Xenopus tropicalis: one gene and its partners. The protein of the gene in region 1 interacts with the protein of each later gene in a pairwise test. Links are inferred from orthologs where the notes say so. Each region holds a gene or a part of one and is shown on either strand. Other genes may lie near its edges.

Region 1 (3,652 bases):
TTCCACAGGCTGAAAAACAAATAGCTTTATTTCCTAAAAGAATTGTGGGTGTGAGGTCTACCCTATAAATGAGACCTCACAAGATCTGTGGCCATCGCAATCCACCCACCAGAAAGTATTATATCCAATTCATTTCCCAATAACGGCACACACAGTGTTTAGGCAGACAACCTAGAAAAGACCAGTACCTCCGTTCCCATGCGCTAGTAAAGACTCAATGCTGAATAGGGCAAAAAGGCACATGTTTATATAGAAGATAAACAGGGGTCCAATGTTATTCGATGCTCTCTACAGATCTATACAATAAAAACCTCACACATTACAGGTAACGTTTTAGCAGTAAAAGGTACAGTAGAATACATATCCAATTTATATGCATTTATAATACACCTACCTTGATGAGCCTTGGTAACTCTCTCAGCACTGACTTTATTTCCCTTGCCTTTTGACAAACTGTACTCCACCATATCCCCCAACTCCAGTTTATCCACATCTCCTGAATACTCACTGTATCAACAAAACAAGATTTAAAGTTTTTCACAACATAGCTAAACCGAAAATTTACTTTTTAGTTCCTGCGTAGATAGTGCAGTTTTTGGACAAAACAAACAAAATCAGACCATCTGTGGATAATTAAAACAGAATTATATTTAAAAAGGCTTGTTTAGGCAGCCACAGTTTGACAAAACTTGGTTTCAAACAAAAACTTATCAGATGTTGACAGCTATAAACTGTTGCGATTTTATATTATGTTGATGTTTTTGCCCTGGTTGTGAAGTAGAAAAGCATAGAAGTGTAAAGTGCATATCCTATGTCAGTGCTGTCCAACTGGTGGCCCGTGACCCCCCTCTGTGTGGCCCCCTGCCTGTCTAGCTGCTTTGATGGCTTACCTTTGTGTAAGCTTTAAATGGTATCGTTACTGATCTTAACTGGCCCCATGCATGGTTCTCACCTCAGATTCAGGCTGTAATCAGGCTGTATTGTTTAAAAATGTAACCCCTGTACTGTTCACACCTTCTAATCTCTGCGTTGTTCTCCTGTTCACACCTCAGACATTGTATGTACTGCCTGGCCTATGCTGCCTGTGTGTGGACAGCATAGGGCAGGGAGGGTATGGCACACAGGCAGCATAGGTCAGGGAGTATATGGCACACACAGGCAGGGTAGGGGAGGCAGAGTATGGCACACACAGGCAGGGTAGGGGAGGCAGAGTATGGCACACACAGGCAGTGTAGGGGAGGCAGAGTATGGCACACACAGGCAGCATAGGGCAGGGAGGGTATGACACACAAGCAGGGTAGGGCAGGCAGAGCATGGCACACAGGCAGGGTAGGGCAGGCAGAGCATGGCACACAGGCAGGGTAGGGCAGGCAGAGCATGGCACACAGGCAGGGTAGGGCAGGCAGAGCATGGCACACAGGCAGGGTAGGGCAGGCAGAGCATGGCACACACAGGCAGGGTAGGGCACGCAGAGTATGGCACACACAGGCAGCATAGGGCAGGCAGAGTGCTGCCTGTGTGTACCATACACTCCCTACCCTATGCTGCCTGTGTAAGGCGAACCTGGCAGGGGTTTGTTTTGGGAGTTTGTTAGCAGTTGGAAATAGCGAAGAAATGGTCCCTAAGGTGTGTAATCATATGCTGGGGGTTGCTTCCACAGGGCAGGAGGAGGCATATGGATTTAAGGGTACATCTTAATATGACCACCATTGTGATAAAATGGGTGTGGTTTGAAGTGGGTGTGGTTTAAAGGGGGAGTGGTCAAAACTGGCTTCCATTAGCGGCCCTCCACCATGTATGAGAGAGAAATTCCGGCCCTCGGCACCGCAGAAGTTGGACAGCACTGTCCTATGTTATTAAGGCCCTTGGCACAGGAATTTCGTCCGCTGCTGCCCTCAGATGGATAAATGTAGGCAGAATGCCTCTCTAGTAAATTACAAGTGAAACACAGGGATGAGTGACAGGCAGACACTACCACCAAAATAATTATGCTAGTTTGCATGTTATAATTCCATATGTCCATTTGATTGGACATTTATTCAAATATATTAGTAGCAGTGACAGAGTAAGACAGGTGTAATGTTCACCATGGCAAGGCCTAAAGTTGAGACAAAACTTTGCTCTAAAATCTTCAAGAGATTAGACATGTAACATTAAATCATGTATTGAGAGGGCCGTCAAACTAAAATACATGGGCCTGATACAGATATTGTGCTTTGGACGTCCACAACCTGACTTGCGAACCTTGGCTTGACAACAGATTTATTATAATGTTTCCTAATATTCAGATCAATATACCAACACAGTTGGACAACACTATCAAAATAAAAAAACTAGTGTCTAAAAAAAACAAATCTAATTGCAAATCCATAATTTCAAACACGGTACCTGTAATGAAAGAAAATTTCTTTATCATGATTTGAAGTTTCAATGAATCCAAAGTTATCTTTAAGGGTGGCCACATATCCATAAAATCTTTTGGCATTTGAGTTGCGTCCAAGAACCTTCATGGATACAGCACTCTGCTGACCAGTTCTTTTGGCTTCACAAATGCTGAATTCAACCTGCACAAACAAAATACATTTTTAAGACTCAGACTACAAAGGCACTGTGAAATGAGATTCATATGACTTATGAAATGGGAAGTTATACTATTTGGAAATGTAAAGAGCAGCACCACAATGCAAGTCTAAGTGCATCAGTTACTGATGTTGCTTACCGTCCTGCAAATCTGCCAATTTAAATAAATATAACTGAAATAGTACCAACTGAGGGTCAGTTCTGCTGACCAGGTTGGCAGCTTGGACAAAATTTCAGAATAGGAAAGTCCTAAAATCCAGACCGACAAGAAGTCGTTTGATATTTTTTGTAAGCAGACACGAGCATCAGGACTGGCATGTGATGGTGTTTTAATCTAATATTAGTAATTTCCATATCGCCAATATCTTGAAATATAGAAATTAATGCAAAGTCTAAATACGCTTAATGGTGGAGCAGATGGCATGCAATTGCAGTTAAAGACTGCAGTGACAGTTTATAACCCAAAGTTACTTAAAGTTTACTTAAAGGAACAGTAACACCAAAAAATGAATGTGTTTTAAAGTAATTCAAATAGAACGTACTGTGGCCCTGCACTGGTAAAAACAGGTGTGTTTGCGTCAGAAATACTACTATAATTTATATAAATAAGCTGCTGTGTAGCCGTGGGGGCAGCCATTGAAGCTGGAAAAAAGGCACAGGTTACATAGCAGATTACAGATAAGACACCATTGTATTCTACAGGGTTTATCTGTTAGCTGCTATATACCCTGTGCCTTTTCTTTTGAAAGGCTGCCCCCATGGCTACACACCAGGGTTTATATAAACTCTATTAGTGTTTCTGAAGCAAACACAAAACTTTTACCAGTGCAGGGCAGCAGTACATTACAGTTTAATTTCTTTAAAATATATACATTTTTTGGTGTTACTGTTCCTTTAACAGTAAAGTGCAGTTTTGATTTGGTCAACTTCTTGCATGTAATTACTCCTACTTGTGATCGTCAAACAAAAGGCTTAGCTAAAGTTACATCTTCAGACAAAAAAAAAAAAATTCTCAATTTACATTTCCCTATTTATTACCTTATCTCCAACTTGGGGTGCACATGATCCTTCA
Region 2 (4,223 bases), on another chromosome or scaffold:
TGACAGATTCAAATAAGCAGTGTAACCAAAGGCTTAGGGGCCCAAGGCAAAATTTGTCCTGGGGCCCCTATGCCATAGGCTCCTACCATACAGGGCGGATTCTTGGCCGGCGGATAAACACAGATGAGAATCCGCCCCTACGTTTCAATAAGTTCATTGCTGTGCCTGCACCCGGGGCCATTGCACAGGCCCAGCTGCAGGCACACTAAGCATCTGTTTATCTGCAGACTGAGAAACCACCCTGTGTGGCAGGAGCCATAAGCTTGCAGTGTTGCAAGCCCCAGTGCAGTTGCACCCACTGTTTCTCTGTTAGTTACACTACTGTTCTGAAATGTATCACTTTGTAGTGCCAGGCAGACGTTACCATATTTTGTGATCATTTTCACTACAGACTTTGGATGGAGTTTCTATGGTATAGTAAGTAAAGAACTCTATTTTGAATAACCAAATCATTTTACTGAACTTTATTTCAAAAATGCATAAAAGTGGAAGCAAACACAAATATTTTATATACCCAAGGGAATAGAAATGTGTGGCATAACTTGAGCTCTGCTCATCTCTTCTCTACTTCCCAGAAAACAGACCAGTGCCTTATCTGAAATTCATTGCTTAAATAAAATTTGCCCTTACCAGGGCCAGCTTATCAGAGTTTTTTTCTGGATCGCTAGCATATTTGCATTGATCCGTTCATTTTAAATGAGTCTATGGTTGACTTACAAATCGCAAAAAAAATAAAATAGCTTGAATCCTGAAAAAACACTTCCCATTACTTCTAGCCAAGCTCAACAGGGTTTTATCAGGCAAATTTTTTCAAGCGATTTTTTAAAAATGTATCTCAAAATGCATATAATAAGATAATTAAGATCAAGTGTATCAGCATTTTATCACATTGAGGCAAAACAAATATCTTAAATTTTAATAAATTTGTCCTTATGCTGGGAATAAGGGAATGGGAAAGAAATGACTGCAGCCTGGCATGTGTGCAATTAGATCTAGGCATGCAAATGCAAGCAGGAAATGTGAGAGATGGTTGTCTGCTCTTTGTGCTCACTGCTCCATTCCAGCAGCTGCCTATCTGCGTGGCTGCATTTATTAACCAGAAAGACAACAATGCAATTCTAACTTCCCCAGACCAGTGAGGTTTCTTCCCAGCACCAGCCTAAAGGTGGCCATACACGAGCAGATCCGCTCGCTTGGCGATGTCGCCAAGCGAGCGGATCTTCCCCCAATATCCCCACCTACGGGTGGGCGATATCGGGGACCATTTAGGTAAAAAAAATAATAATCCGATCGTTTGGCCCTGGGGCCAGACGATCGGATTATGTGAGCGGCAATGGGGCAGTCGGATCGGGGACCGCATCAACGAGCATTAACGTGTTTGAAAATAATTAAAACATGATAATTTGTTGTCCTGTACTAATAAAAGTGATATCTAGTATAAGTAAATCTAAAGCAACTGGACTTGCTAAGTAATCATTGAAGACAGCTGCTCGGATGAGTATTGAAACGTCTTCAATGATTACTTAGCAAGTCAAGTTGCTTTAGATTTATTTATACAGGTATGGGATCCCTTATCTGGAAACTTATTATACAGAAAGTTCCAAATTAATGAAAGGCCATCTGCCATAGACTCCATTACAAACAAATAATTCCAATTTTTGAAAATTATGGAGATCCAAATTACAGAAAGATCCCTTATCCGGAAAATCCCAGGTCTTGAGCATTCTGGATAACAGGTCCCATGCCTGATATACCATGACCTGGATGAATGAAAATCTTCATAGTCATATAGTAAAACTGATGTGTTTGCTTCAGAAATGTTATTATTGTGTATATAAACACACTGCTGTGTAGCAATGGGTAGCCATTAAAGATGGGAAGGAGTAATGCACAGGTTTACAAATAACAAATTAGCTCTGTAAATACAAGTGTATTCTGTTACACTTTCATTTTTTGGTATTGTTGTTCTTTTAACTTTGTATGAATGTATTATATCACTATGTATTTTATATATATATATATATATATATATATTTATTCATGTATATACACACAGAGAATACATACTTTGATCATTTATGTAGTAGGTACATTTTAATATTTACATTTATTTTAGTTATTCTGTGGATCTCCACGAACACATATGTATGAATGTGTCTGGATTTGAAGAGAATGAGAGAAAGAATAGCTTGTAATATATATATATATATATATATATATATATTATTTCTTTCTCTCATTCTCTTCAAATCCAGACACATTCATACATATGTGTTCGTGGAGATCCACAGAATGATTAAAATAAATGTAAATATTAAAATGTACCTACTACATAAATGATCAAAGTATGTATTCTCTGTGTGTATATACATGAAAATATGAAACCATTTTCAAGAACTCCTAGAAAGCTACAGAGTACACCTAGAGGAAAAGAAGGCGATGACCAGGAAAACAGGTAACCTAGCCTATTCCAATCACTGGAAATGTACTCATTCCTTACAAGATTAAGCGATTCGAAGTCGCGTCGCTGCAGCGTCCCACTTCCTGTACCAGGCCGCGTTGCCGCGGAAACAGTGACATGTTGGGTTGCTAGACAGGGAGGGTTTTGTTGCTTCCATTTTTTTCAAAAAACTTTATTAACTAGAGGAAGCCACTAACACTGAAGAAAAAATACAGTATACTGTACATTAGTGCGCGGCTGGCTTCAACCCAGCACCTCAGGGTCGGCCGTCCATGCACTTTACTTATATTGTGGCATGTGCATCATCCAAACCAAACAATACAGCAATATTTCCGAGTTCAGAGAAAAACAAAAATCGCATGGGTTTTGTTACAGCGGGAAAGTGTGCCGCTACAGAAGCATTTTGCAATGCGGCCAAGCTGACACAACTTTAGTTTATACACAACTCAATGAACTGCTCGCTACAAAAGCAACACTGAAGTGGCAGCGCTCGTCAATAAACTTTATTGTTCGCGAAGCAGCGCAGTGAGCACAGCGGGGCAGGGTGTGTTTCCTCCTCAATTCGCTCAACTTTAATGAACATCGCTGGGCGCGAACACTGCCAGTCTCCCGGCGCTGCTGCTTGTGGCTATTGCCGCTTCTCTGGAGGCCTCAGCTGAGTTCTGCTCCCCCGCCCTTTCCCTCGCTGAAGATGCCGAGCAAGAAAAAGAAATACAACGCTCGTTTTCCCCCGGTGAGTCGGCGGTCTCCTCTCGCACCGCTCTTTCCTGGTACAGGCTCCCCGAAAATCTCCCGCAAGGACCCCCCTCTGGTTCTGGATCCTTTGCGTTGCGCCGGATTTTGGCATCTTTTTTGCTCTGCCCAGCGCTATGGTTATGGGCAGTAGGAGCGTTGTGCAGAGTATTCAGCCTCATTGTAACAATAACACTGTATCCGCACACGCTGCAGCTTGTTATTGCTCACTAGTGCCTTTTGTACAGTCTATAAACATATATTGTTTACGTTCAATACACTGGTTCCTTAACGGAGTATCTGCCCCTCGACCAGGATGTTCGGTGCCTTGGCAGGGCCAACCCGCAGCCACCCGGGGACATAGCTGGGTAGAATGCCCAAGGTACTATTTAATTCCCTTCATGAAGGTCATTTAAAGCAAGTTTTGGGGTGAACACTGTTCTTATGGCTGTGACTGAATGGATAATACACAGAGTCTGTGATCTTGTTATGGGCTAAGGGGGTCCAAGCCAAATGGTGGGTCTTAAAGGTGAGAAGATAAGGGACCTGGGCAGTTTTTGGCTTTAATTAAGGTGGGGGTGGATCCTGGCCAAGTGGTGGGCCTTAGATGAGGGGGTCCTGGTTAAGTGTTGGGCCTTATTGGGGGGGGGGAGGTAAGGTCAAATGGTGGAAATTAAAGGGGAAGGGGGGCCCTGGTCAAATGATGGGGCTAAAGGGGGGGGGGGTCAATTAGTTGGCCCTATTGGGGGTGTCCTGGTAAAATGGTGGTGGGCCTTAAAAGGGGGGGGGGGGGGGCTGGTCAATTGGAAGACCACTGTTCTTATGTTTGACACGCATACACCTTGCTATCCTATTCATCCAGTGCACAAGTAGGCCTTCCTCATTACCTTAACATTAGTTGCTCTCAGTGCCCCCAAACCAGGGAGTTATTTTTGAATTCCTGACTTGGGGGCAAGTTTTGGTTGAATAAAAACAAGGTTTACTACCAAATAAAGCCCACTGTAAGCTGATAGGTTGCATAGAGGCCCCT
Region 3 (4,212 bases), on another chromosome or scaffold:
TAAAGTAGATCCCCTGTGCTCAATCAGCTGCAATGAAACAGTTCCGGAAAGAAGTAATAAGGGTACATGTCTATCCCCGCACCCCAGCCCCCAAATGCAAAGGGTCTATAAGGGACAAACAAACATGGCCTAGCCAGCTGAACTGCACCTATCCTACAGGTAACTGCTCCAGGTGTGTGTTAGACGGAAGCCTACCCCCAGGCATAAACAGGTGGAACAAGGAAAGCCATAACCTAAATACACAATGTGCGATAGGGAAACATCTTCCCTCCATCAGACTGGCCTAGGGCTGGGGAAAGAGAAACCCTAACCCCTTATCATCACCAGCAGGATATGTACCTAAGCTTGTGTAACAAGGAACAGGTCCCCCACTGTAAGACTGGTCTAGACTGGTGTAACAGGGACACAAATTCCAATCGTGGGTGTAAAGCAGAGCCCAATCCCCGATCTTCAGTATTTACACACATAATTTATGGTCTGGTCTTAGGGAAATATACACCTCAGTGCACCTGTATAGACTCGCAGTCCTGTATTTTAGAGACTTCTGGATTATAGATTTCCAGATAATGGATCCCATATTTGTTCAGCCAGCCCCCCCCCCCTGTACACAGGCCCTGTTAAAGCACTTGTATAGGTAAACAATAAGAACAGCTCTCATATGAAAATACTGGCACTTTGCTTTTTACATTTGAATGTGGTTTAAAATGAAAGGCACGGCGCCAGAGTTTTCATGTAAGGGCTGTTTCTGTTATTCCCTGGGAATGTTTTGGGTGATGTTCAGCCAGGCACCCAGGCACCCAGGGAACCGGAAGCACCACTAAAATGCAGACAAAAAGGAGTGAAGGTGAGGATCCTATACAATTCCTGCATAGCTGTCAACCAATAAATGAACAGTGTACTTGTAAAGTCAGCCCCAATACACAGACCCTATCAGTGCAGCTCTATAGCAGCCCCCCAATACAGACCCTATCAGTGCACTTGTATAGCAGCCCCCAATACACAGCCCCTATCAGTGCACCTGTATATCCAGCCCCCAATACACAGCCCCTATCAGTGCACCTGTATATCCAGCCCCCAATACACAGCCCCTATCAGTGCACCTGTATATCCAGCCCCCAATACACAGCCCCTATCAGTTTACATGTATAGCCAGCCCCCCAGTACACAAACCCTATCAGTGCACCTGTATAGCCAGCCCCCCAGTACAGCCCCTGTCAGTGCACCTGTATAGGCGGCCCCCCACTACACAAACCCTATCAGTGCTCCTGTATAGCCGGCCCCCCAGTACAGCCCCTGTCAGTGCACCTGTATAGCTGGCCCCCCAGTACAGCCCGTATCAGTGCACCTGTATAGCCGGCCCCCCAGTACAGCCCCTATCAGTGCACCTGTATAGGCGGCCCCCCAGTACAGCCCCTATCAGTGCTCCTGTATAGCCGGCCCCCCAGTACAGCCCCTATCAGTGCTCCTGTATAGCCGGCCCCCCAGTACAGCCCCTATCAGTGCTCCTGTATAGCCGGCCCCCCAGTGCACCTGTATAGGCGGCCCCCCAGTGCACCTGTATAGGCGGCCCCCCAGTGCACCTGTATAGGCGGCCCCCCAGTGCACCTGTATAGGCAGCCCCCCAGTACAGCCCGTATCAGTGCACCTGTATAGCCGGCCCCCCAGCACAGCCCGTATCAGTGCACCTGTATAGCCGGCCCCCCAGTACAGCCCCTATCAGTGCACCTGTATAGCCGGCCCCCCAGTACAGCCCCTATCAGTGCACCTGTATAGGCGGCCCCCCAGTACAGCCCCTATCAGTGCTCCTGTATAGCCAGCCCCCCAGTACAGCCCCTATAAGTGCTCCTGTATAGCCGGCCCCCCAGTACAGCCCCTATCAGTGCACCTGTATAGGCGGCCCCCCAGTACAGCCCCTATCAGTGCTCCTGTATAGCCGGCCCCCCAGTGCACCTGTATAGCCGGCCCCCCAGTGCACCTGTATAGCCGGCCCCCCAGTGCACCTGTATAGCCGGCCCCCCAGCACAGCCCGTATCAGTGCACCTGTATAGCCAGCCCGTATCAGTGCACCTGTATAGCCAGCCCGTATCAGTGCACCTGTATAGCCGGCCCCCCAGTACAGCCCCTATAAGTGCTCCTGTATAGGCGGCCCCCCAGTACAGCCCCTATCAGTGCACCTGTATAGGCGGCCCCCCAGTGCACCTGTATAGGCGGCCCCCCAGTGCACCTGTATAGGCGGCCCCCCAGTACAGCCCGTATCAGTGCACCTGTATAGCCGGCCCCCCAGTACAGCCCGTATCAGTGCACCTGTATAGGCGGCCCCCCAGTACAGCCCGTATCAGTGCACCTGTATAGGCGGCCCCCCAGTACAGCCCGTATCAGTGCACCTGTATAGGTGGCCCCCCAGTACAGCCCGTATCAGTGCACCTGTATAGCCGGCACCCCAGTACAGCCCGTATCAGTGCACCTGTATAGGCGGCCCCCCAGTACAGCCCGTATCAGTGCACCTGTATAGGCGGCCCCCCAGTACAGCCCGTATCAGTGCACCTGTATAGCCGGCACCCCAGTACAGCCCGTATCAGTGCACCTGTATAGGCGGCCCCCCAGTACAGCCCGTATCAGTGCACCTGTATAGGCGGCCCCCCAGTGCACCTGTATAGGCGGCCCCCCAGCACACATACATGACGTGCCACAAGGTGCTGGGCGGTGCAGCAGGTACCTGAGTCTTGGTTGTTAATTGGATCACGGCCTTTCTGAAGTTCAGCTTCGTGTCCGTGTTCCCCATTCCGTTACCGGCTGGAACCTTGCCCTGGCCCGTCCACTCCCTCCACCCCTCCCGACCGGGTAGGATTAAATCCGCCTGAAACAGCTGGAGAACCGGATCCGTCAATCACCCCCGGTAATCCCGCCTACCGAGCGTCTGCAGCCCGCCCACGGATTCCACGCCTCTCCCCCGTCACCAGCATCAAGGTTGAAACCACGCCTTGATTGTCCTGCAGGCCCCGCCCATACAGTTACAGGAAGTGGAAGAGATGACATATTGTGTGTCCAGGTGTCAGTGTTTGCTGATTGGGCAGCGTGGTGTGATACTGTATGTGCTGTTCCAATAGCAACCGTAATGCTTCCTATAACTCCTGCCTCTGTATAGCTCTCTTTCCAGGGTAGCCTGTATATATATCCTTATAGCTGAACTGCAGCAACTGGGGCTCCACCAAGGGGTCTGCTTGAACTGCATGGAACTCTCATACCCCTCTGGCAGATGTGATTGCTGCTAGCTTGGGGAGGCTGAACTGCACCAGCGTTACTGGGCACCCAGCTGACTAGGGTCACAGCAAATGCACCTATAATTGTACCAGTCTGGCACTCACCCCAAATCCCCCCTAACTGGCCTTCAGGCTGGGCCCCCTTAGCCCATAACAAGGTTACAGATATATAGAAACATTGGGGTAACAGTCACCCTGCTATAGTTCCAGGGGTACCCAGGGCACAAATAAGCACTCACCCCAAATCCCCCCCTAACTGGCCTTCAGGCTGGGCCCCCTTAGCCCATAACAAGGTTACAGATATATAGAAACATTGGGGTAACAGTCACCCTGCTATAGTTCCAGGGGTACCCAGGGCACAAATAAGCACTCACCCCAAATCCCCCCCTAACTGGCCTTCAGGCTGGGCCCCCTTAGCCCATAACAAGGTTACAGATATATAGAAACATTGGGGTAACAGTCACCCTGCTATAGTTCCAGGGGTACCCAGGGCACAAATAAGCACTCACCCCAAATCCCCCCCTAACTGGCCTTCAGGCTGGGCCCCCTTAGCCCATAACAAGGTTACAGATATATAGAAACATTGGGGAAACAGTCACCCCGCTATAGTTCCAGGGGTACCCAGGGCACAAATAAGCACTCACCCCAAATTCCCCCCTAACTGGCCTTCAGGCTGGGCCCCCTTAGCCCATAACAAGGTTACAGATATATAGAAACATTGGGGTAACAGTCACCCTGCTATAGTTCCAGGGGTACCCAGGGCACAAATAATCACTCACCCCAAATCTCCCCCTAACTGGCCTTCAGGCTGGGCCCCCTTAGCCCATAACAAGGTTACAGATATATAGAAACATTGGGGTAACAGTCACCCCGCTATAGTTCCAGGGGTACCCAGGGCACAAATAAGCACTCACCCCAAATCCCCCCCTAACTGGCCTTCAGGCTGGGCCCC

What was found.
Region 2: the proteins of csde1 (region 1) and c11orf68 interact in a two-hybrid assay, tested with the Homo sapiens proteins (2 studies listed by BioGRID and IntAct). The link is inferred for Xenopus tropicalis from reciprocal best matches to the Homo sapiens genes CSDE1 and C11orf68.
Region 3: the proteins of csde1 (region 1) and hid1 interact in binary tests that used the Homo sapiens proteins (3 or more experiments, as listed by UniProt). The two-hybrid records come from large-scale screens. The link is inferred for Xenopus tropicalis from reciprocal best matches to the Homo sapiens genes CSDE1 and HID1.

What each region holds. Positions count from the first base shown.
Region 1 is NC_030678.2:53,764,143-53,767,794, reverse strand, and holds part of csde1 (cold shock domain-containing protein E1), read right to left. Parts: coding exon 3,619-3,652; intron 2,565-3,618; coding exon 2,389-2,564; intron 508-2,388; coding exon 395-507; intron 1-394. UniProt on the Homo sapiens protein: RNA-binding protein involved in translationally coupled mRNA turnover.
Region 2 is NC_030680.2:38,499,406-38,503,628, forward strand, and holds the start of c11orf68 (UPF0696 protein C11orf68 homolog), read right to left. Parts: upstream 2,865-4,223; 5' UTR 2,501-2,864; intron 1-2,500. Other genes in the region: drap1 (dr1-associated corepressor), read left to right, coding at 3,153-3,194.
Region 3 is NC_030686.2:44,285,041-44,289,252, forward strand, and holds the start of hid1 (protein HID1), read right to left. Parts: upstream 2,884-4,212; 5' UTR 2,783-2,883; coding exon 2,717-2,782; intron 1-2,716. UniProt on the Homo sapiens protein: May play an important role in the development of cancers in a broad range of tissues.